Linked DNA regions of Lytechinus pictus. The protein of the gene in region 2 purifies or fractionates together with the protein of the main gene of each other region. This does not show direct contact. Links are inferred from orthologs where the notes say so. Each region holds a gene or a part of one and is shown on either strand. Other genes may lie near its edges.

Region 1 (10,963 bases), on a different chromosome or scaffold from region 2:
GTACTCTGCTGGATGCACCATTGTACATTTCCACCAATGTAGACTGAGCCTCCAGTGGTATAGGAGTGTCAGCTAGCTTTTGAAAGAGGCCAGGGTGCCAGACACAATCAAAAGCTTTAGCAGCATCCAAGAGGGCAAGATATGTTGGCTTCTTCCGAGATGTATTCAGCTCAATAAGCATCTCAAGGGTCAGTGAAGCGAGAATACAGGACTTTGAGGCTTGGAATCCAAACTGAAGTTCGCCAGGTGTGTTGACTTCAACCAAGGAGTCCTCAATCTTAGGTTTTAGGGCAATTTCCAAGAGCTTTGATAGAGTTGGGGTCAGGGAGATGCCTCTGTAGCTAGAGGGTTCGCTGACCGGTTTGCTCCCTCCTTTGTGCAGTGGGATGATCACTGCTTCCTTCAATGACGCTGGAAGATGTGCCAGTTTGATGGAGTTTTGGAGGAGAAGGAGAAGAAGGCGACGGAAAATTGGACCTGAATGAACCAGATGCTCAGAAGTTATGTTGTCGAGGCCTGGGGCTTTGTGAAGCTTGAGTTTCCTAATGGCTGTGTCAAGATCATGCGAGGTGAGAGTAAGCAAGACTTCTTCTGCACCTTCTGATTGAATGGAGGGCAGGTAAGGGGAGTGCTCAGTCATGTGTTTGGCTCCTTCGTAGTTGGTAGCAGTAGGATCTGAAGAGAGATCTTGAAAATATGATTTCCAGCCCTTGATGACATCCTTGCCCTGGAACAGGGTCTCCCTGTATACCATGAATGGGAGGTCCACTGTTGAGGGTTTGCCTGTTTTGTTTGACTTTACCAGGCTGTAGAACAAGGGGCTGTTCATGTCATTTGCCATCTCTATCTTTCCTTGCACTTTGAGTCTGTTGGAGGCTTCAGATTGTCTCAGGGCTCTCTTGAAGTCCTTTTTGGCTTCCAAATAGGATTTCCAAGTAGGGTGCCCATCTACTGGTTTACCTGCCTGTTTCCACTTCTTCCAGTGGGCTAAGGAGTGGGAGTAGGCAGATTTGACGTCCTGAGTCCACACTGGTTTGCCTTGTTTCTTGTCTTTATGGGCTTTGTGAGGGAGTCTCAAGGAGAGCTCTAGAATCTGATCTTGAAGACGACCAAAGAGCAGATCCACAGTGGCATGGTCCAGAGATAGTGAGTGTAGGTTTCGGAAGATGGTGGCTGCTTCTAGTTCCAGTGGGTTGGTGTAAAGTGAAGCAATTTCATTGCGATCACTGGGCCACAAGATGGAGTATCTCTGGATTGGTGTGAGATGGTTAGCGGTTGCCTCAGGCATGCGCTTTAGTCCAGCTGGAGACTTGGAAGTAGGGAGTTCTGCTGTGATGAGAACAGGACAATGATCGGAGGAGTTGAGGGGATGTTCTGCAATAATTTTATGTTGAGAATAGAGCCCTATATCCTGTGGGGGGATGATAAAGCCATCGATCCTGGATTTCTTAGAGCCATCATCAGACATGAAGGTATAATCACTAGGAGAGCAGCTAAGTGAAGTAAGACTGCACAAATCTTCTGAAGCAAGAAAATTCTTGAGAATGTCAGCCGTGCATTTCCTGGGAGAGGTCTGCATGGGGTCAGCATTGAAATCTCCTGCAACAATCTTAATGTGGTTACGTGTGTCCACGGAACTAAAAAATGACAAGATAGTGGACAAGCATAAATGGTATTCATTCACTTCATCATGAGAGGTACCTGAAGGAAGGTAGCAGTTAATGATGAGGAGGTTTGTTGATGTTGAAACATGCTTGGTTGAGATGGCTTGAACCCGAGGTGTGGTGCTTTTGAGATCTTTGGAATCTATGAAGAGTGCTTTGCGTAGGAAGATGGCGAGACCTCCCTTGCCTCTTCCAAATTTGGGAATGCCAGGGTAAGTCTCCTCTTCATGTGCTTTGGCTAAAGTGAGAAAATGGGAGTCTAGACGGGAGAGGGAGTGGAGCCCATGTTGGTTTGCCCAGTGCTCTTGGATGCAGGTAACATCTGAGGTGCATAAAAGGTGCTGGATGAAAGGAGTGCTACTGGTGTTGCCTCGAGAGTTGAACGTGACTACATTGATCGTGCAGGAGGTAGAGCACTCCGGCTGCTTTGAGCTAGATGGATTATTTGATGGTGAAGGACGTGTAAGTTGGACAGAACGACCTGATCCTGTGGAAAGTTTGGGTGGGAGAGAAGGTAGAGAGCTTTTGATGCGGCAAACTGGAGTGATTCTAGGAGAGATGCATGTGTCAGTGCCGAGGCTCTGCCCTGATGAAAACCCGAAGGGGTTGAGTTTGGGCGGTGCATTGATGAAGTAGGAGCTGCATGGATTGTCACTCGTTGGGCGGGAGGAGGATGTGGTGGGTTCCGCTCAGAGGCACTGCTACTGGGATGTGGCAGAGAAGTGTTTGTGGGGGGCTGTTAATATGATGAAGCAGACCTTGAGGGAGCCTGAGAGGAGGTAGGAGTAGTGGGTACTGCACTGCAAAGGGGCGGCGAGCATTTCCTGCATGAAGGAGTGGCGTAGGTGAAGGGACATTGCGTGGTGAAGTGGCTGATAGAGGGTTGGTAGGAGACAGGACAAAGCATTCACTACATTGGGAGGTAATGGAGTTGTCCAACCTGGTAAGAGGAGTTTTTTGGCCTGGGGTAATCGAGCCTCTTTGACTGTTTTTTGAAGGATTCCTTGACCAGCTGGTAGAGTGTGTAAGAGGACTGGTAGGCTCAAAGAGATCAGGACTATGAGTGTCTGCGGTATTGGTAGAAGCACGACTCTGTATGGGTGCCATTTGCGTTTGAGCTGCTGAAGTAGGACTCTTCTGAATTCTGATGTCCATAAGAGGTGGGATTTGGCAAGGTGTTGTAGGGTGATCAAGTCTGGGAATGAAAGTGGTTTTGGGTGCAAAGGTATCTGCATTCTGCCTAGGTGGCATGACATCTTTGGGTCTGTTGCTCTGGGGATGGGGACTTCCTGGGCTAGTAGAAGACTTATTCTGCTCTCTCGAAGGAGAGATTTTAGATCTGTTGCTCCGGGTAGCCGTGACTCCTTGTCCAGTGCAAGATTTAGTCTGTCTTCTATTGGGGGAGTCTCTAAATCTGTTGCTCCGGGCAGGAGTGACTCCTGGTGCATTGGAGATCTTATTCTCTCGTCTCTGGGGAGAATATCTGGTACTGTTGCCCCGGTTGGTACGGTCATTCAGTCCAGTAGAGGTCTTATTCTGTCCTCTCAGGGGGGAGGAATTGGTCGCCGAGTAAGTTTGGGCATGGATTGAGATTACAGGGGAGGCAGACTTAGGTACAAGACGCTTCTTGGGCGAGTAAGATACATCGACTTTGGTAGTAGAGGTTGGAGTCTGACTTTTAGAAGAAGAATCTCTAGGGTCCAATGGCTTAGGATGGCTTTGGAAAGCTCTCCTTTGAGAAGGAGAGTCAGCTGGCTTGATATGGCTTCCACGGTTAGGATCACTAGGAAAGGGTCCAAGATGGTTTGTCTTGAGGAGATCCTGATCAGTTTTCTTGAAGTAGCCAGGATCATCCTTCTTCTGTCTGTGTGTCTCAGCTGACATTTGGCCTGACTTTCTATGTGTGTGTTGTGAGTAATTAGATGCAGGATGAGGCTTAACAGAATTGCCATGTTCCTCCTCTGTTCCAGCAAAGGAAGCATGTAGCGAGTCATTCAGGTGGTCTGAAAGAATGCTAAAGCGATTCGATGTGGAGACAGGGGTTCCTTGGCGTGCAACAGAAACTTTGTGAGTGGTGGAAGTTTCCAGGTGAGAATAAGGAGGGATATGGTGTGTCACCTTGTTCACCTTGCTATGTCCAGTAGCACGCTTGTCCTCTAGAAGATACGGAAGTTCATTCTCATCAATGTCATGGTTCAGGCAGATAGCAACAAGATGATCATTTGAGGATAAGAGCGATACAATTTCTTTCTCCTTCCCGTTGAGCTCTGATGTTAGGTCTGCTATTGTTTTTTGTGCCTTCTTCTTGTGATTGGAATCTGCTGAACGGAGCTTTTTGAGAGACTCAATTTCGTACCTGGCTTGTTGTAAGTTGGATACCACTTGTTCATACTGCACAAGGAGGACATCTTTTGATAAGATGATGTTATCGAGTTTATCCTTGGTGTCCCTTAGCTTCTTGGAGAGGCTGGTACATTTGCAATCAGATGGAATTGGTAACATATCCTCAGGAGGGTCACAAGCAGCATCCTGTTTAGAGTGGTTTAGTGGATTGAGTTGGGTATTCTGGCTAGTAGGGAGACTGGTTTGAGATGCCCTCGAGATTTTCAGATCTTGCGGGATAATGGCGAGAGTAGTTTGAGTGGCCTTGGGATGCTGTCTCAGGGACTGGGTCTGAGTAGATATAGAAGTAGACTCAGAGCGGGAGGATGGGTTGAAGTCAGTAACATCTGTCATTCAATTAAATTGTTATCTAGGCATATACCACTTTTTAATTTTTATTTAGAAAAAATATATTTTTATTTTGTTACATTTTTGTGTTTTTCATGTTATGCTTAAAATTTACAACAAAAATCATCAAATCATACACAAAATTAAGATCAAAATCTGAGTAAAAAATATCTACATGTAGGCCTATGCAATGCTTGGTAACATAAATAAACAAATATTTATACATTTAGAGATTTAGAACATGTACATGTATATAATTAAAATGTTTAAGGGCATGTTTATGCTTCCACTTTTTCAGGCCAGACTCAGCATTTTCATACGTGATTAGTCCAAAACACTGTTGCATCCATTCTTACTTTCATTTAAACAACGTTTCAGAACGCTGATCGTAAACTTACGAAAAGGTGCGTTTCTAAACATTTGACCAGAATCAGGGTTTCTGGGGAAGTATAAACAGGATCACGATCGTAAACGTGTTTAAATGACCTGATTTGGTACATGCTTCCGGTGAGATGAAAATCTGCGGGCTAATACAGTTGCATGGTTCTATTACAGGGATTTACCTCCATGGAATTACCTCTCAACTTCCTGGTTTTAATAATGACCAATGTACATTTGCATGTGTGAATATTAAATTAAGGAAGTACTATCACTATCACAATGAATGTTGAGGGATTAAAAAAAAAGGAACATGAGTTATAAGGAGTCATCGCTGAGCCAGAAGCCCTGCAGTAGCATAAACAAATTGATGTCTTATTATTTTCTTATGTATACATATTTTATTTTGTCTTGCTATTATCCTCACCATGGTAGAAATTCTATGGCTACATGTATGTCAAGTAGCTCCAAGATCCGAAATTGTTCGAAGTTAAAATAATAGTCGACCATAACAACACTCAGGAACAAAAGTTTCAAAAAAGGGCGCGCCCAATTTGACCTCGCTTTCCTGCTCACCAAAAATTACGGTGCGAAACCAGCTGCAGATTGCAATTTCGCCTCTGAAAAAAAAAGGCCTACGTGCAGCCAGCACTGCACTAGCAGCTGCATGAGTTGGTAGCGAATCGGCATGCAAGTTGAATTGTCAGACTCATCATCATAGACGTGATACCCCTAATTTACCTCCATCCACGTCACTAGAGCTAGAAACTTCATCATCATTCTCTTCATCTTCAAAATCATCAATTTGAAAATCCAAAATCTAAATAAACTTCTGGGTTTTCTTTCATTTCGTGATCGAAGTATTCAGTGACAGTGTGGAGAAAACGTACCCTCGCAACAGGTTTTGCATGCAAGTGGAGCTTTACGTGGGAGAGCCAATCACGTCTCTCGTACACTTATACACGTCATCAAAAAAACCCAATTTTGCGGACGTAATTGAGCGTGTTTGAAGCATTTAGAGAGAGAACTTTAAACTATCAATTAAGTGAGTTCCATAGGTCTCCATGATAAATGATGTACACCATCGTGTTCTTCCTTTTTTCCCCTTTAATTTGATATATAATTCTTCATTTTTATGATTTTCAATATATTTCTACTTTAAAAATGAATTAATTCGTGGCAAGTTGGGAATAGAAAATTGGATGAAAGAATAACAATAAAGATATATATTTGTGTCTGACTATGAAATATGAAATGGTCTGGATCATTATGAATAATAGCAATGTAATATCAATGTTATAGAGGAATAAGGGAATTTTATATTAAAATAACAGCTAGAAGTAAGGGTTATAATACACAAAAACTTTGGATTACAAAGATTACCCGGCAATACATGTATCTATATTTTCCAAATATCACATTTGAAACTACAAAGTAATGCAGTATTTCTATTCAATTACTTTGATATTTTCTAGATTTTCTTGGCCAGACTACAAGAGCTTGAATTCATTTAGAGTGTTCCCTGTCGATCGCTACTTGGAAGAAGGTATGGCTAGTGAAAGCTTCATTGGGAACTATCTGTCCTTAGACTGCGGGCCGGTCCTAGGGACATTCCAAGGTGAAGTTTCTTCTGTGTGCAAGAAAGGACAAACTATCTCTCTTAAGAATGCATTCAGGAATGGAGTCAAGTATGGTGTTCCTGAAGTAACAATGAGGTTTGTTGTAAGACCTTAAAGAAAAATAAAAATTTCTGTCTCTACTTTATTTTAAATGACTTTGAACATTTTGAAGAGACATGGCTTGCAGTTTTCATTAATTTGTGAAATTTTGAAATAGTTATTTCCATTGATTCACTTAACTTATAAATATAAGTTGATGAAAAAAAAACATAACTTGATATCATTTGACATGAGTGTGTTGAACTTTATATTCATGAAATCATATTCTATTCTAAAGCATTTATGGAGTAAACTGGTAAATCTAAAGATTATTCATTTATAAGATTGAATTCATTATCAATCAAAACTTACGTGTACTTCATAAAGCACTTGTGTGAAAATGTGATCTAAAATTGTATATTCAATAGTAAAATTCAGTATCAAATGCAGGAATGAAAAGAAATCATGTTCAGGCTTTAAATATTTATTTTCTTTTTGGTATAATACCGCTTCTCAACCATTTGATGAAATTCCAACAGTTCATAAGCATACTGATTGATACATTAATCCATTCTAAATGGTCCTTTACATTAATTAATCCATTCTAAAATGGTCCTTTGATCTTATGGGAGGTAATAACATTACATAGAAAGGATGCTTTTAATTTAGACGAATTTAGACGAAGAATCAACATGTAAAATGATATAATGGGTACTCCCAGTACGCATTTGCGAGGTTTGTATAAGAATGATATATAAGAATGATTATAAACACTCTTATTTCAGAGCTTCAGACATCAAAGATCTGAAGATCCTGAAAACAAGTGCTGATTTGAAGGCAGAGGCAGAGAAAAATAGAGCGATCATCAAAGCAGTCAGCTGTAAATCAAAGTCTGAAGCAGTAAATGGAGACGCTATCTCTAATAACAAAGGTACATACATTGTACATAGTTATTTTTAAAATCCTATTATGTATAGAAAATGTACATGTATATGAGTTTTTTTTACAGTATTATCTGTTTTGAATTCAGTTGTGGGGTACATGTAAGAATTTATATGAAGTTTGAAGCTTAGAATGCGGTCTAGAAGATTTTTTTGGTTCATGGATTAAGGTTGATTGTTTTACATGAATTCAGTTTATCTTGCCAAAATGATCATATAATGGTTACTTATACAAAAGCCTTGATTTTCATTGACTATTGAATGATATTTGTTCTCATTGTCCAGATTGTGGACTTATTCTAAAAACTTGTAGGATGCTCAAATGTTATATATTGATATGATGAACTGTCAAAAAATATTTGCTTCTGCTAACATGTTTATGACTAAAATGGCAAATAAATTATTATTAATGAGATATGATTTAATGAGATAATGTTAAAAGTGATATTCGTCTGATCATTCCGATTGATGGTATGTTTTTTTTTTAAGTATTGGGAAAGAATTGAAAAGGAGTTTACCACAATATAAAAACTGTCTGTTCAATTTACAGACACATCTACCAACAAGCTGAATGGGGAGCTGAGTAAACCCAGTCTGACTGCAGTAAGGAGATCAGGAAATTCAGAAAGAGCTCACAGCAAATCACCCCACAGAAAAACCCCTGCAGGAACGTACAAAGAATCCAGTACAGAAGGTGGACAGAAAAACAAACATCAGAACCATCTCAATCACAGCCAGCGTTCTGCCTTTCACTCACCAAACCGCAATGAAACCACAGGAACAGACTCCCAGGAGAAAGGGAGGGTTGGGTTCAAAGCAAAGCGCTCTGCGTCGTTTTCGATGCCCCAAGGGAAAGGGGATGATAGTGGCAGACCTGGTAGACCAGGGTTTCAGAGGGTCCATAGCGTGGATGGACTTAGTAGATCAGGTGGGAATGAAAATGCAGGTAGAGATGAGGAAGAATACAGGCAAGGAGGAGACAAAGGAAGGAGAAGAACCTATTCTGGTAAGACTACATCTTTTCTCTTGTTGGGCGATACCATGCCAGGAATTTCCTTGTTTGTTTTGATGCCAATGGCGTCTTACTGGTTTAGAGACCAGGCAACTTGTACACATTAAAAACAAATAATAAAGTCATAGATATTTATGTTTCCCCAACAGATAATTTATTTAAATAATGAACAATTTTTACCTCTGGATCTCAATCAGTGATTTGTTTTCATGTCCTACACTGTAGTTTGCTGATAAAGTCGGCATCCATAGTATGCTCTTATTTGCTGCTGAAGGTGCTTTGTAATCTCAATCATGCAATCAACATGACGATTTAATGCACAGTGATCCCAAAAGTGTTGCATAAATCAATAGTCAGGAATGCCAGTTTTCTGTCTCTTTCAAATTTAACATAAGTGCTATGTGTTTTCCATTTCTCCCTTTGATCCCACCACAGATTAGCTGGAAAATAAAATACAAAAAATATGCTCAGATTGCCAGAGAGCATCTATAACCCTAGAGCTGGATCCTGGCTGTAGGGACTTTGCGTGCATAATTTTCCATCTGAAAAAAAATTAGGCCCTGGAGTCATATGTCACTGGCATCCCTGATTAGTAAATCTCCTTTGAAAGTCATTTTAGTGTGTGCATTGCAAGTATGATACTAATTGCATCACTTGATATGTTGCTCTTTGATATAGGGAACCACGAGAGCAACCACACACGATCATCGCCTGTCAAGATCAGTGGAGGTAATACCCGCAAGCACAACCGAGGAGGATTCAACTCACGCAACGCTGAATGCTTCAGTGCCCCTGTGGAAAGCTTCCTCAACGATGATTTTGACTTTGATTCAAACTTTGCCTTGTTTGACAAGGAGAACTTTTATGAGGAGTTGGACGCCATGGGGGATAATCGGCCTAAGAGACCAGGACCAAGGAATCTTCGCTTTGATGAGAACATTTTAGAGAGGAGGGAATCCGAAGAGGGGAAAAGGATCACATGTCCTGACCCAACTGGCAAGTGGTATCATACAGGTAAGAGAAAGACAAAATCCATGCAATATGCTATTGATTGCTCTTAGGTTACAATAACATTTATTCAAAAGAAGATAAATTAATTGGTTTGGAGAAACAAAGTATAGAGATCCTGCAACAAGAGCAGTGGCAAGTCTATAAATGGATGAAAATAATAGACTGTATTAGAATTCGTAGTGATACATTATAGCCTTTGGTAAAAGATCAGTAATGTGACTTATACTCCAGTATCATCCAACGTTCCACTATTACGAAAGTGAAGGGGTCATTGAATGTTTTTTTTTCAACCATAGAATTCAAATATGGCATTTTCAGCCATTAGAATTCAAATTTGGTATATATTTACGGCTTTTCTCAATTTGTGTGCAACTCCGTGTAAATCGTCATTTGTATCCTTCTTTTTTGCAGATACAGACATGCAGATTCCCGGGATATCACCTGAGTTAAAGGCCAGACTAATGTCATCAGCCACGAAGGTTGGCCATACTGTAGAGAGAAGACTTGAATCAGTTGGACTGTGTGCGGCTCAGGTGGCACTACAGCTACTTGATAAACAAAGACGGTAAAACTTAGTTCCGTTCTTACCTGAATCACAATGCTAGTTTTGTCTGTCCCACTGGATGTGAAGGCAATAGCAATGGATCCACTATCCATCCATTGTCCATCACAAATGTTAAAGTTTACCTGCAAGACTCTCTTGTCAGTCACTTGTAATGCAAATATGTTGTCCTTGAATAATTCACACCGCTTTTCACGACACCTTGCTTTACAAAGGTTGTGTGATATACACTCTAGCTTTGTTGCATGCAGGATTTATTCATTTGGGATTCCACAATGGCTCCTCAGATCCCCTGTTGTTTTGTCGAGTTAAATTGGTTGATTTGAAGAGAAATATGCAAGGTATAGTTTTTGTTGTATCGCATCACAATTTGCTCTACATGTTTAAAAGACTGCTATACAAAATACTGTTGTGAAGCAGATTTTTACATAAGACTGTTACAGAACTTAGTTCAGAGCTTTTCTCCTATGACCAAAATAGCCAATCAAATTTACCAAGCAAATTTATTCCCTGAAATTGATTAACATGTCTCTAAAAGCCAGGTATAAATAACTTGAAGCAACTTGTAAATAATCAGAAACATCCATATCCTGCTTGATTTTGGATTATTACCTGTCTCTCTTTTCCCATCATCTCAGAATACATAGCAAGAAGAGAGCCACGGAACCATCAGTGGTAGTCCTTTGTGGTCCCCACCTTGAAGGTGCCCAGGGGGTAAGCTGCGCCCGTCATCTTACCTATCATGGGTGTACAGTCACCCTCTTTGTACCCAACTTTGTCAAGATGCTGGAAGAACTAAGGCAGGAGATGGACCTCTTTGATGCAACCGATGGGCTCAAACTACAGAGCTACAAAGGTACATGATGTTTTTAAACTCTACCCCCCCTTATTGCCTGCGGTATGAAGACTACCACAGTGTTTTTTGTTCTCCCATTGTGAACAAAAAAAATCATCTTGCCTCTTTTCAAAGTCGAGAATGCGAGAGGCATTTGGCATTTGTATTGTTG
Region 2 (11,229 bases):
AATTCAATGCTCAATACATTCATATCCCAATAATCATTTTATCAAGTGGCAAATCGGGTATATTTCCTCTCATAAATATTTCAGTTTATCAACAGAGATAAAATAATAGGCTAATTTATCATCTGTATCAATCACAGTTATCTCAAAAGGTATAAGACCTAGCCATTTATAACAAACAGTTAATGAGAGATAAAATGCACTCAGTTTGCTCCCCCTATAATTATATATAGCTACATGTAGAAGCATGAAAATATATTGGACCATACCAATGACATAATGTAAGAAGAGGAACTGACCTTGATACAAAATTGCATATTTGCATTACAGTGCCTTTAAGTAGAAAGGCAATGAAACATTGTATTACCTCTTTGCAAAATATATGTACATGTCTTTATGGCAGCTTTGCCATTAATGGTAGAAGACAATAATGCCCAATCCATATTAATGATTTCACTATTTTATGAGACATTTATACATGACTTTTAAATGTAAAATTAGAAGGATGAAAACCTAGCTCCACAAATCCTGTAATTCTACCCACATCAAGAAAATTCAGATTGTATACAAATAACGAATCGAGCTGAATGCATTGGTGTAAATGCAGACATATGCAGTACATTAGCTGTTATCAAATATTGTACAGTGGATACATGATGTATACGTATAAGTGATTTTATGTTGCCCATTTAATGTTGGTGTAAGTCAACATGTGAACATATTGACAGAAACTCGTACTACAATGTATGTAAGTAGTTCTGAAACAAGTACTTCATTAGTACCCATTCCAATGTCAGAAAAAATGTCTGTGAGATACATGTATTGTGCAATCTACCAGATATTATTTATCTGGGGATTCCCCTTATTCCTGGTACTTCCAGTACGAGATAACAGGAAGTGCATTAGTCCATTTGTGTAAACCCTGCATTTCAGCATTCATGAATGCTTCAACCCATTTCCACCTCTGTGCTCACTCACTGCTCATTCTGCAGAGTGCAGACAAAATGAACCATGTATTTTATATTTAATGTGCTTTGCTTGTAATTGAGGAGTATACATATACACGCAATGTATTTTCTTGATGAACTACAAATAAAAACATACATAGCACTACACACTTACCTGTTGGCTTGAGATGACAAATCTGTACAACAATGGAGGGAAATGAAAGGGAGAAAACAGAAGGAATAGATAGTAATTCAATTAAATTCAAAGTGGGAGTTTGAAAGTTAATCCAAAAATTTACCTGTTTTGAAAGTATACCATTTCTTTACAGAGTCACTTGACAATGTAAGAGCATACGGCATTCATTTTTATTTTCAAAAAGCACTTTAGCAGCCATCTAGACTTGCAAAACTATTTATGGGATAGAGAAAGTACACTGGAAAATTCTTGAATCAAGTTAGAGTTTTCATTACAAAATGTAAGGGTCTGGTCAGAATTAGGAATAGCTCCCTCTTTCAATGAGTTTTGTACAATAAAAAATGTCCATTTATCACAATCTTGGACTATAAATCCCCCTTAACCACTCAAACATGACTTGATGAATGTCACCTTCTTAAAAGAGTAAGTCACTGAGGTGTCGCACCTGTAATAATTTCCCACAGATATGGCACTAAACCAAAATTCACACAAAATAAGGATTAAATTTTTAACTTTTACCACTAGACCAATTGATGTCAGATCCATCATTCATGTGCTCTAAATATTTACCTCCGCTCTAGTCTTTTTTTCTAACCCTGTTTTGCATCATATTTACACGTATGTATACATTCTTGGTAAGAATCTTACAATTTTGAGGGTTAATGTGCATATTACTAGCTAAAAGGGCTATTCTGGAGACACAAAGAGTAGAATGATTTGATTATGTGAATATTAATGTGGTGCGCAGATTCCTAATACTTTGTTGGGTAACTATAATATTTTGTCTTTGCACATTGTTCTCCAGAGCTCCTACAATCTATATCAATATTCTATAGATCTAGATATCTCGGTGTTTATGGTTGTAGTTTAATGTGAATCTAATGAAAATATATAATTTTATATGTATTTTTGGTACCGTATTTTCCGGAAAATAAATCACAGCCGAGAATAAACCACATCCCCAAAATTGGGAAGTTAAAAAGAAAAATTGCAATCCAAATTAATAACATTTAAAATGTTAATAATTTGGACTGCAAATTATATTGGGTTAGCCAATTCCACTGAATAATCATTTAAAGATCAGAAGATACATTTCTGATTTTTGTATTTTTTAAAATGGTTATTTCATTCTTTTAAAAACTTTATTTTTCAAAGAATATTATTTTTTGTAGAAAAAAGAAAAAAGATCTTGAAATGGTAATATTGAATACAAGGTTGGCTGATTTAAATCGTGATTTAAATTGTGATTTAGATAACTTAAGATTTTTTTAAATCGCATCCATTGAAACGTGCACAAATGGTTGGCATTTTTTGTTGTTGAGGCAATTTAATTTTTTTATTCAAAACAAAAAGATTTTAACAACTTTATATCATCAAAACATAAATCCTTCATATTTACTCAGATAAATTTAAATCAAGTCAATAAAACCAGGTTAATCTTGCAAAACCAAAGATGTACATGTAGCCTTTAAGTAGTTAACACTTAGACCCCTACTCAACTAAGTAGACAACATTTTCCCTGTAAAATGTTTCTGTTGATAGTAAACAAATTTCTCGTTTCTTTAAAGGGGAATCCAGCCTTGGCCATTAAGTGTTGTGTTGGGAAGGAGAAAAACTAATTAAAAGAATGGTGAAAGTTTGAAAGAAATCGGACAAGAAATAAGAAAGTTATAGCTGCTTTAAAATTGAGATCACTATTAGTATGTAGATTTCAAATTGGCAACTGGGTAAGCAAATTATGACAAGGGGCAAGGACAACTTTCCCATAGGCCATGTACAGTATTATCAGGGATTTGTGGTTTTCTCCTAAGTACCCATTCCCCTGGGGCAGTAATCTAAATATAACCCAGGTAATATATTGTTTAATGTCCTCATGAAAGAAAAATATAATTTGAAAATAAGAATTTTGGGAAAAATGACATTTTAGCCATAATGTGTAGTGGAATACATGGAAGAGTAGTCCTTGCCTTACATCACTGTGACATCACATATGCGGCCAATTTGAAGTCTCCATGAGTATAGTGATTACCAATATTTACAACTTTTAAAAATTCATAACTTTCTTGTTGTTTGTCCGATATTGTTCAAACTTTCACCTATCAACTTGTCTGATATTTCTTTTTCTTATAAAAACAAGTTTTTATTTGGGTTGGATTCCCCTTTAATGTCAACATCAAAAAGTGTTTTTGGAGGACAGTTATTAAGGAAATATAAGAGTAAAAGGGTTATTGGCAGTTCTTCTATTCTGATCATTCACATGAACTACTAGCACATACTAGGCTTATTGCTCTCCAACATCAACAATTTGTTCATATCTATCCATACTATAGCAATGGCACTTCAGAACAAAAAATATGTAAAAATTATAAAAGAGGAATTAAAAAAAGAATCACTGAACTTATAAGGCTGAATTCCATCAGAAATTCTTTCCAGGATCGGTTTGATACAAAGCCTGTTCAGACTTTCTGTATACGATTACAAGTGCTTCATTCAGCTGGTTCACTGACGTTAGAACGTTTAATTCCTTAGAAAAGAATAATTATAATTCTTAGATGCATGCCATGGTGGAACACCGTGGAGACTGGAGAGTAGACTAATCTATGTAATCTTTCATTAATTCGAGGGGTATCAATTCTGTTGCACAAAGCAAATTCAATGAATATTAAAGTGCACATAGTCTTGACCTAAACCTGAGCCGCCATCTTGTTTCTTATTGTACTTCCCCAACGTTACGCGACGCTCGCGTTGGGGAAGTACAATGAGAAACAAGATGGCGGCGTAAACATCGGGCAAGTCTCTTCCATCTTTTCACAATATTTTTTCATTTTTTTGATGAATTCTTGTTTTAAAAATAACAACGAGAGCGTAGAAATGTTGGAAATGAAGTTTTATCCCATTTACATGAATTAGAGCTAGATCTTTTAGAAGGAAAGTAGTAATCTCGGGGGCGAAAGCTTCAGGGTTTTTTGCGGTACACGCAGATGAATGGGGAGGACTGCCTGGCTTCGTATGAGAGTAACATCACGTTAGTAAATGATTTTTACTCTCTAGAAGCCGCCTGGCAACCCCCCCCCCCCCCCCCCCCGGGTTAGAAGTAGAAGTTAGAACTTTGTCTTTGCACAATACATTTCTACTTTCTTTCTACATGAAAGTTTGAAACAATAGTCAATATCGACTAAAACGTTTTGTCCATTTATTAAAGATGTTCATGTTTAGTGTTCAAGACCATTTTGGGAGCACAGCTCGCTCCTCCTTCTCCCCAAGGCTTCATTCCCTGATCCATACGTTTCATACATACCCGACACATTTTGTGGCGATGCTCCGGATCCAGATCCAACACCCCCGTTGTTCGACTGATTTGGTTTTCCAACATTCAACATGTTCTTTAAAATTTGTGAGGCATCTCCACCGCTAAGTAGCCTGTTTAGCTGATTCCCACTAGTCGGGCCTGGCTCCATGATGAAATCAAACCCGATTTCGTCGACGCAGGAAAGCTGTTAAACAAACCCTAAAACAACTCCGAAAATTGGAGAGTCTGAGATTGGCTTAAGTTGTTGTGTGTGTATCGTATACGGTACATGTACTGTAGCGCTAGCTAGTACTCATCTACCATGCATAAAATATAGACAACATACACGCGCGCAGCTAGCTCGCACGAGATAAACTGACTGAGCAAAGACACTAATATGACTGAAGAAAAAGCATCATGGTATCCTATTATTCTATTTTCCCTTTTTTCCGCTGTTGAGACAAGGATCGGAATCGGGGGGGGGGGGTGCAAAATAATCAGATAAGAGAGCAAGACAAAATGGTAAAATGTCAAATTTTCCCATAGCGATCCCTTGTTAATTCATGTAAGATTCTCTTTTAAGACTCCATTACCCCCCTTCCTTCTTGGTGCAACGCGGCCATGAGCCCGGGCCATGAGACCCGAGGGGCCATGATCAAGCGATGACCCCCCCCCCTTCTTATCTCCTCTCGATCGCATTTTCCTTATGATACAAACTTCAAGCCTGCATTAAAAAGTTCAAAATGTGTTTTTTTATTATATTCTATTTGTTATGATTGAATGACCCACTTTCACTTGACGATATCTATTTTTTTCAGTTGCCGTCTATGCAACATTTCGTTTTCATCATAATTATTATTTTTTCCTGCGAAAGTTAATATTATCCCTTTGTATTTCTAAATTCTAAATTATTAAAATTCATCATATACTGCAAAGTATTTACCCCCCCCCCCCTTAATAAAAAAATCATGCCAGACCACTTAAAGAGACCAATTAATGGAATTCTTAAAGGGGAAGTTCGATCACCCTGGCGAAAACTTTGTTGTAAAAATAGCAGAAAAAAATAATAATAAGTGTTTGGTACTGCAAAAGCTCCAGTATGTCCGTTTTTAAGGTTATTTAAAGATGAAAAAGATAAAAATATTGGTGAAGGTTCGAAGAAAATCCATTAAAGATTAAGAAAGTAATTAGAATTTCAAGTTTTGGATATGTGACGTCATAAACGAACAGCTGCCCCATATCAAGAAAAGAAAGGAAAAAAGTAGGGAAAGAAGAGAAAGAAAAAAGGGGGAAGAAAGGGAGAAGAAAAAAAAAGGAAGGGGCGCCAAATTGATGTTCTACATAGGGGGGGGGGGGCGCGCCGAATCGTTGTTTTACTTAGGGGTGCCGAATTGATGTTCGACCAAGGGGGCGCCGAATTTATGTTCGGCATAGGGGCGCCGAATTTATCTTCAACCCAGGGGGCGCTGAATTTATATCCGACATTGGGGGCGCCGAATTATTTTTTACTTAGGGGCGCCGAGTTGATGTTCGACATAAGGGGCGCCGATGATTGATCTTTAAACTAGGGAGGAGCCGAATCGATGTTCTGCTAGGGGCGCCGAATTTATGTTCGACCTATAGGAACGCCGAATTGATGTTCTACTATAGGGGCGCCAAATTGGAGTTTGATATATAGGGGGCGCCGAATTGATGTTCTACCTAGGGGCGCCGAATTTATGTTCAACATAGGGGCGTCGAATTGATATTCTACGTAGGGGGGGGGGCGCCGAATTGATGTTGCGCCTAGGTGCGCCGAATTGATATTCTATCTAGGGCCGCCGAATTGGTGTTCGACATAGGGGGCGCTGAATTGATTCCGACCTAGGGGCGCGCCGAATTTATGTTCGACAAAGTGGGGCGCCGAATTGATGTTCGACCTATATAGGGGCGCTGAATAGGAGCACCAATTTGATGTTTGTCCTGATGCGCCAAATTCATGCTTAACCTAGGGAGAGGGCGCCAAATTCATATTCGACCTTTGGGGCACAATTTGATGTTTGTCATGGGGCGCCAAATTCACCAAATTCAAAAGTGCTTAGAAAGTTCAAATTTTAGGTCAGAATATCAAAAATTTTCATCTCTTTCTTTGTGTTTGTATCAAGGTGACGATCGATCTTGTTAAAGGTTAGATAAGTGCTTAAAATGTCCAACTTAGGTCGAAACATTAAACAATTTAAAAAAAATTACCTCGCGCTTCGCGCTCGCATAAAATGCTTTGTTAGATACTTATCCCGTTCATGATTACCAATAGTGCTTAGAATGTCAAAATTTTAGGTCAGAATATCCAACATTTTCAGCTCGCGCTTCACGCTCGCATGAATAAAGATACTCATCCTGTTCGTGGTTACAAAAAGTGCTTAGAATGTCCAGTTTTGGATCAGAAAAGTTTGAAAATTCTAAACTCGCGCTTTGCGCTCGCATAATATGATTTGTTAGATACCCATCCTGTTCATGATTACCAATAGTGCTTAAAATGTCAAAATTTTAGGTCAGAATATAAAAAATTTCCTGTTCGCGCTTCACGCTCCCATCAATTATAAAAATAACCCATCCTGTTCATGGTTACAAAAAGTGCTTAAAATGTCCAGTTTGGGGTCGGAAATTAAAAACCCTAAGATCCTGTTAATGGTTAGATAAGTGCTAAGAATGTCCAACTTTGGTCGAAAAAATAAAATAATTTCAGCTCGCGCTTCGCGCTCACATAAAATGTTTTGTTAGATACTCATCCTGTTCATGATTACCAATAGTGCTTAGAAATAATGTCAAAATTTTAGGTCAGAAAAAAAAAAATTTCAGCTCACGCTTCACGCTCGCATGAATAAAGATACCCATTCTGTTCATGGTTACAAAAAGTGCTTAGAATGTCCAGTTTTGGGTCGGAAATTCAAAAATTCTCAGCTCGCGCTTTGCGCTTGCATATTATGTTGATATAGATACCCATCCAGTACTTGATTACCAAATATTCTTACAGATTTTCCGAATTTCGCACTCGCATCCATGGGCGGAAATCCAAGGGGGACAGGGGGACGTGTCCCCCCTACTCAAAATAGTAGGGGGGACACAATATCAAATGCCCCCCTACTATTTTTGGTCTTTTATGATGGCAAGAAATACATCATTCTAAATCGAAATAAAACATGTATTTTGGGACGAGATGACCTTACTTTGGCGATGATAACCTTTTTTTTTGCTTGTCAAATTTCCCGCCCCTTGTCCCCATAGGCGGATCCAGGGGCCGAGGGGTCCGCCCCCCCCCCCCCCCCCTCTTGGCGGAGCAATAAAAGAAAAAAGGGAAAGAAAGAAGGAAAAAGGAGAAAAAGGAGGGAAAAGAGAGGAGAAAAAGAAGAGAAGGACGACGAGTGCATAAAATAAGATGAGGGGAAGACTTGGAAAATAAAAAGAATCTTTCGTGCCACTATATAAAATTTTCGTTCGCGCTTCGCGCTCGCATTGCATGTTAGATGATTTACATATCTTGTTCAATATGGAATTCGAATATCAAGTTTGGAAGTCAATATACAAAACATATTTCACCTCGGAAATCGAACTTTCATTATTTTGTGTAATTTACAAATTGGTTTTTAAAAAGTGCTCTGTAAAAATGTCAGTTTTATGGTCCGAATGTTAACATTTGCTGCTTGCGCTGCGCGATCGCAAATTTTGATTTATCAGGTACCTATTATTTTCGTGTATTCCGTAAAGTTTTCAAAATATCACTTTTCAGGTCTGATTGTCAAGACGTATCAGCTAGCGCGCTGCACGCTCGCATTTTGATTGGCGAGTTATATAAATGTTTCAATATTGATTATACAAAAACTACTTAAAATCCCCTTTTCATGACAGTTTATCAAAAATTTTAGCTCGCGATTTGCGCTCGCATTAATGGTAAAAAATATAATAACTGATGCATCCTATTCATAATCACAAAAGTTAAATGTTCAGTTTTTATGCCATGATATCATCAGATTTCACGTCCTCATTAGGCATTAATAAATATGATATTAATTTAATAATTAAATTGTCCCTTTTGTTTCATCTCGCGCTTAGCAAGAGGAATAGGAAGATCATTTTCATATGATGACATGTCGTAAGGATGTCCCGGTCCTATGTCAAAACTCAAAGTAATAATAATATCAGCTCTTTTTTAAATGCGATCCATATCCACCTTACAAGTTTTCTACAAAGTGCTTGAAATATAAAGCTGAAATTGACTCTTTTTTCAGATCGGAATATCAAAGGTTAATGATTTTCATGATTGAAGTTGTATTTAGAATGCCTAGATTCTAGGTTTAAATATGAAACACGATCGCGCATTTATTCAGATACTCAACTTGTTCTCTAATTTAAATCATTATCCAGTTTCAGATCACAATATCAAAATTTTCAACAGGTACCAGTTCAAAACGTATATTAAAATTTTCTGCTCGTGCTTTGCGCTCGCATTATTAATACTCATCCTTTTCAGGATTTACAAAACATGAATAGTGTCTCGTTCAGTAAATATTATAGAACTAAATTTCGAAATTTTTCTGCACGCGCTTCGCGCTCGCATTAATTGTTTACTTATACACCTATTCTGCTTGGGTTTACAAAAAGCGCTTAGAATTTCCATTCTTTAGGTGAAAATGTCAAAAAAATTCAGCTCGCGCTTCGCGCTCGCATTATTTGATTGTTAAATGCTACTTTAACAGGCCATCTTTTCCATCAGTTCATTTCTGCTCGCACTTTGCGTTTGTAGTAATTATTAAGTTGCATACACATCTTTTTCAGGATAACAAACATTGCCCAGAATCAGTTCAAATTTTAGGAAAAAATACATAAAATTTCCAAAAAAAATTGCTCGCGCTTCGCGCTCGCATCATATAAATAAGGATTATGATATTATATATTAATTTATAAGAATAAAGCTAAGAAGTGACTAATGAGGACTACCCCTTCAAAGAAACAAACAAAAATCATCTTCGAGCTGCCGATCGGGGAAAATATGGCTGAAACAAATTTCCGCCCCCCCCCCCGGCCTATTGGCGAAGGCTGGATCCGCCCCTGTGTCCCCCCTACCTTTTGGGAGAGATTTCCGCCCCTGCTCGCATCAATTGTTTAGATATACGTATACCCATCATGTTTACGGTTTTAAAAAGTGCTTAGAATATCCGATCGGGAAAACATAAAGATGAAAATATTTTTCCACCCCAGCAACCCTAGAAGTGAAAGTTGGATCCACCCCTGGTAAAGAAACGTCAGCTCCCGCTCATACAATTTTAGTAGGGCCTACTCTGATGAGAAGTTGAAACCCCAAAGTGCTTAAAATTCTATGCTTTCAGGGGGCCGTTACATAAAGCTGATCGTAAGTTAAGAGCTAATTTAGAAGAACGACTGGTGATCCTTTCTTTTTTAGAGCTTCTTCTGTCTTGTGTTGGGTTGGCAACCAGTCAGAAAATGAATATTTTGCCATTGCTTTGATTTGGAGCCTTCTTTGTGAGGATGGAAAAAATTTTCCCTTCATCCTTTTTTTTCTATTTTACTTTCTCTTTTTTTTCCTTCACATTTTTTATCTCCTTTTGATTTGTTTTTTCTCTTCATTTTTTTCTCCTTCCTCTTTTTCTGTTTTTTCTTCCTTTTTTTCTTTTTTTAACCTATTTTCTTTTCTTTTTTCTGTTTTCTTTTATTTTCTTATGCTTTTTTTCCTTTTCTTGTTCTTGTTCTTTTCTTTTCTCGTCTTTTTTTTCCTCTTTAATTTTTTCCTCTTTTTTTTCATTTCTATTTTTCTTTTTCTTCTCTTTTTTGTTTCATTTTGCTTTTGTTTTGATTGCAAATAAGAATTTCTTATAGTACCTTTCTTCTGTTATGTTGTGCTAAAACAGCAAGGAGAGAAAGCAAAAATAAACTGGATTTGGGGGCCTGTGTGAAACAACCGCGTAGCCAGGATTTCATTTTGGAGGGGGCGGTAAATGCACGCGAAGCGTGCCAACAATTCGCGCGCTCTCTAGGGGGTGGGTGCAGGGAGGGGGAGTTTCCCCCTCCCGTGCAAAGCGCGAAGCTTTTGGTGTTTCATAAATTAAAATAAAAAGGAGCCGTCTCTCTTGTCTCTAGTAACTATATCAGCTCCAATTCAGTTGACTATATTGTGATTTTGAACCTTGTTTTTAAAAGTGATTGTGAACGCACAAAAAATGAATACAATGGAGGAAATTAAAATAATAATAAACCCGCGCGAAGCACGGAAGCTAAAGCGTGTCATCAATTTTTTCGCCATGAAAAGGGTCCCGAGAAAAGGGTATTCTCAAAGATACATTGAATACTTCCCTTGGAAAGATCAGATTTGATTACAATTTAGCGACAGTGCATATCTTTAACTCGCAAAACAGAGGAGAAGAAGTGTATATGCCGGGAGGAAGATATTGCTCCCCGCGCAGAGCAATGAAACTCTGAAATTTCAAAGGGCGGACGTTTCATCAAATGCAGATATCTCTAATACCCCATCAAGCCCATCGGCTCTAATTCAATTGATTTGATAAGATTATTGAACTTCATTACAAGGAAAATAGTGCGCAAAAAGTTGAAACTTCTGTGATTTATTGAAATTATATAAAAAAGGATGCCTAATTTCTTTGACTTATCCTGAAGCGCTTCATTTTGAACCATCTCAAGTGTCATTCAAAATTTCAAACTGAGGGCGCAAAACAGGACAGGAGATGAATGTGCAGGGAAATGACATGAAGTTTAATAGAATTCGATAAAAATATTGTACTTTTTATTTA

The links.
Region 1: the proteins of enhancer of mRNA-decapping protein 4-like (region 2) and enhancer of mRNA-decapping protein 3-like purify together in Homo sapiens (affinity purification with mass spectrometry; 6 studies listed by BioGRID and IntAct, with this or other methods). This does not show direct contact. The link is inferred for Lytechinus pictus from reciprocal best matches to the Homo sapiens genes EDC4 and EDC3.

The regions. Positions count from the first base shown.
Region 1 is NC_087249.1:27,565,067-27,576,029, reverse strand, and holds the start of enhancer of mRNA-decapping protein 3-like, read left to right. Parts: upstream 1-6,223; 5' UTR 6,224-6,320; coding exon 6,321-6,487; intron 6,488-7,215; coding exon 7,216-7,361; intron 7,362-7,921; coding exon 7,922-8,377; intron 8,378-9,061; coding exon 9,062-9,397; intron 9,398-9,805; coding exon 9,806-9,959; intron 9,960-10,594; coding exon 10,595-10,812; intron 10,813-10,963. UniProt on the Homo sapiens protein: Binds single-stranded RNA. Involved in the process of mRNA degradation and in the positive regulation of mRNA decapping. May play a role in spermiogenesis and oogenesis.
Region 2 is NC_087246.1:64,499,983-64,511,211, forward strand, and holds the start of enhancer of mRNA-decapping protein 4-like, read right to left. Parts: upstream 4,728-11,229; 5' UTR 4,599-4,727; coding exon 4,439-4,598; intron 1,142-4,438; coding exon 1,120-1,141; intron 1-1,119. UniProt on the Homo sapiens protein: In the process of mRNA degradation, seems to play a role in mRNA decapping. Component of a complex containing DCP2 and DCP1A which functions in decapping of ARE-containing mRNAs. Promotes complex formation between DCP1A and DCP2.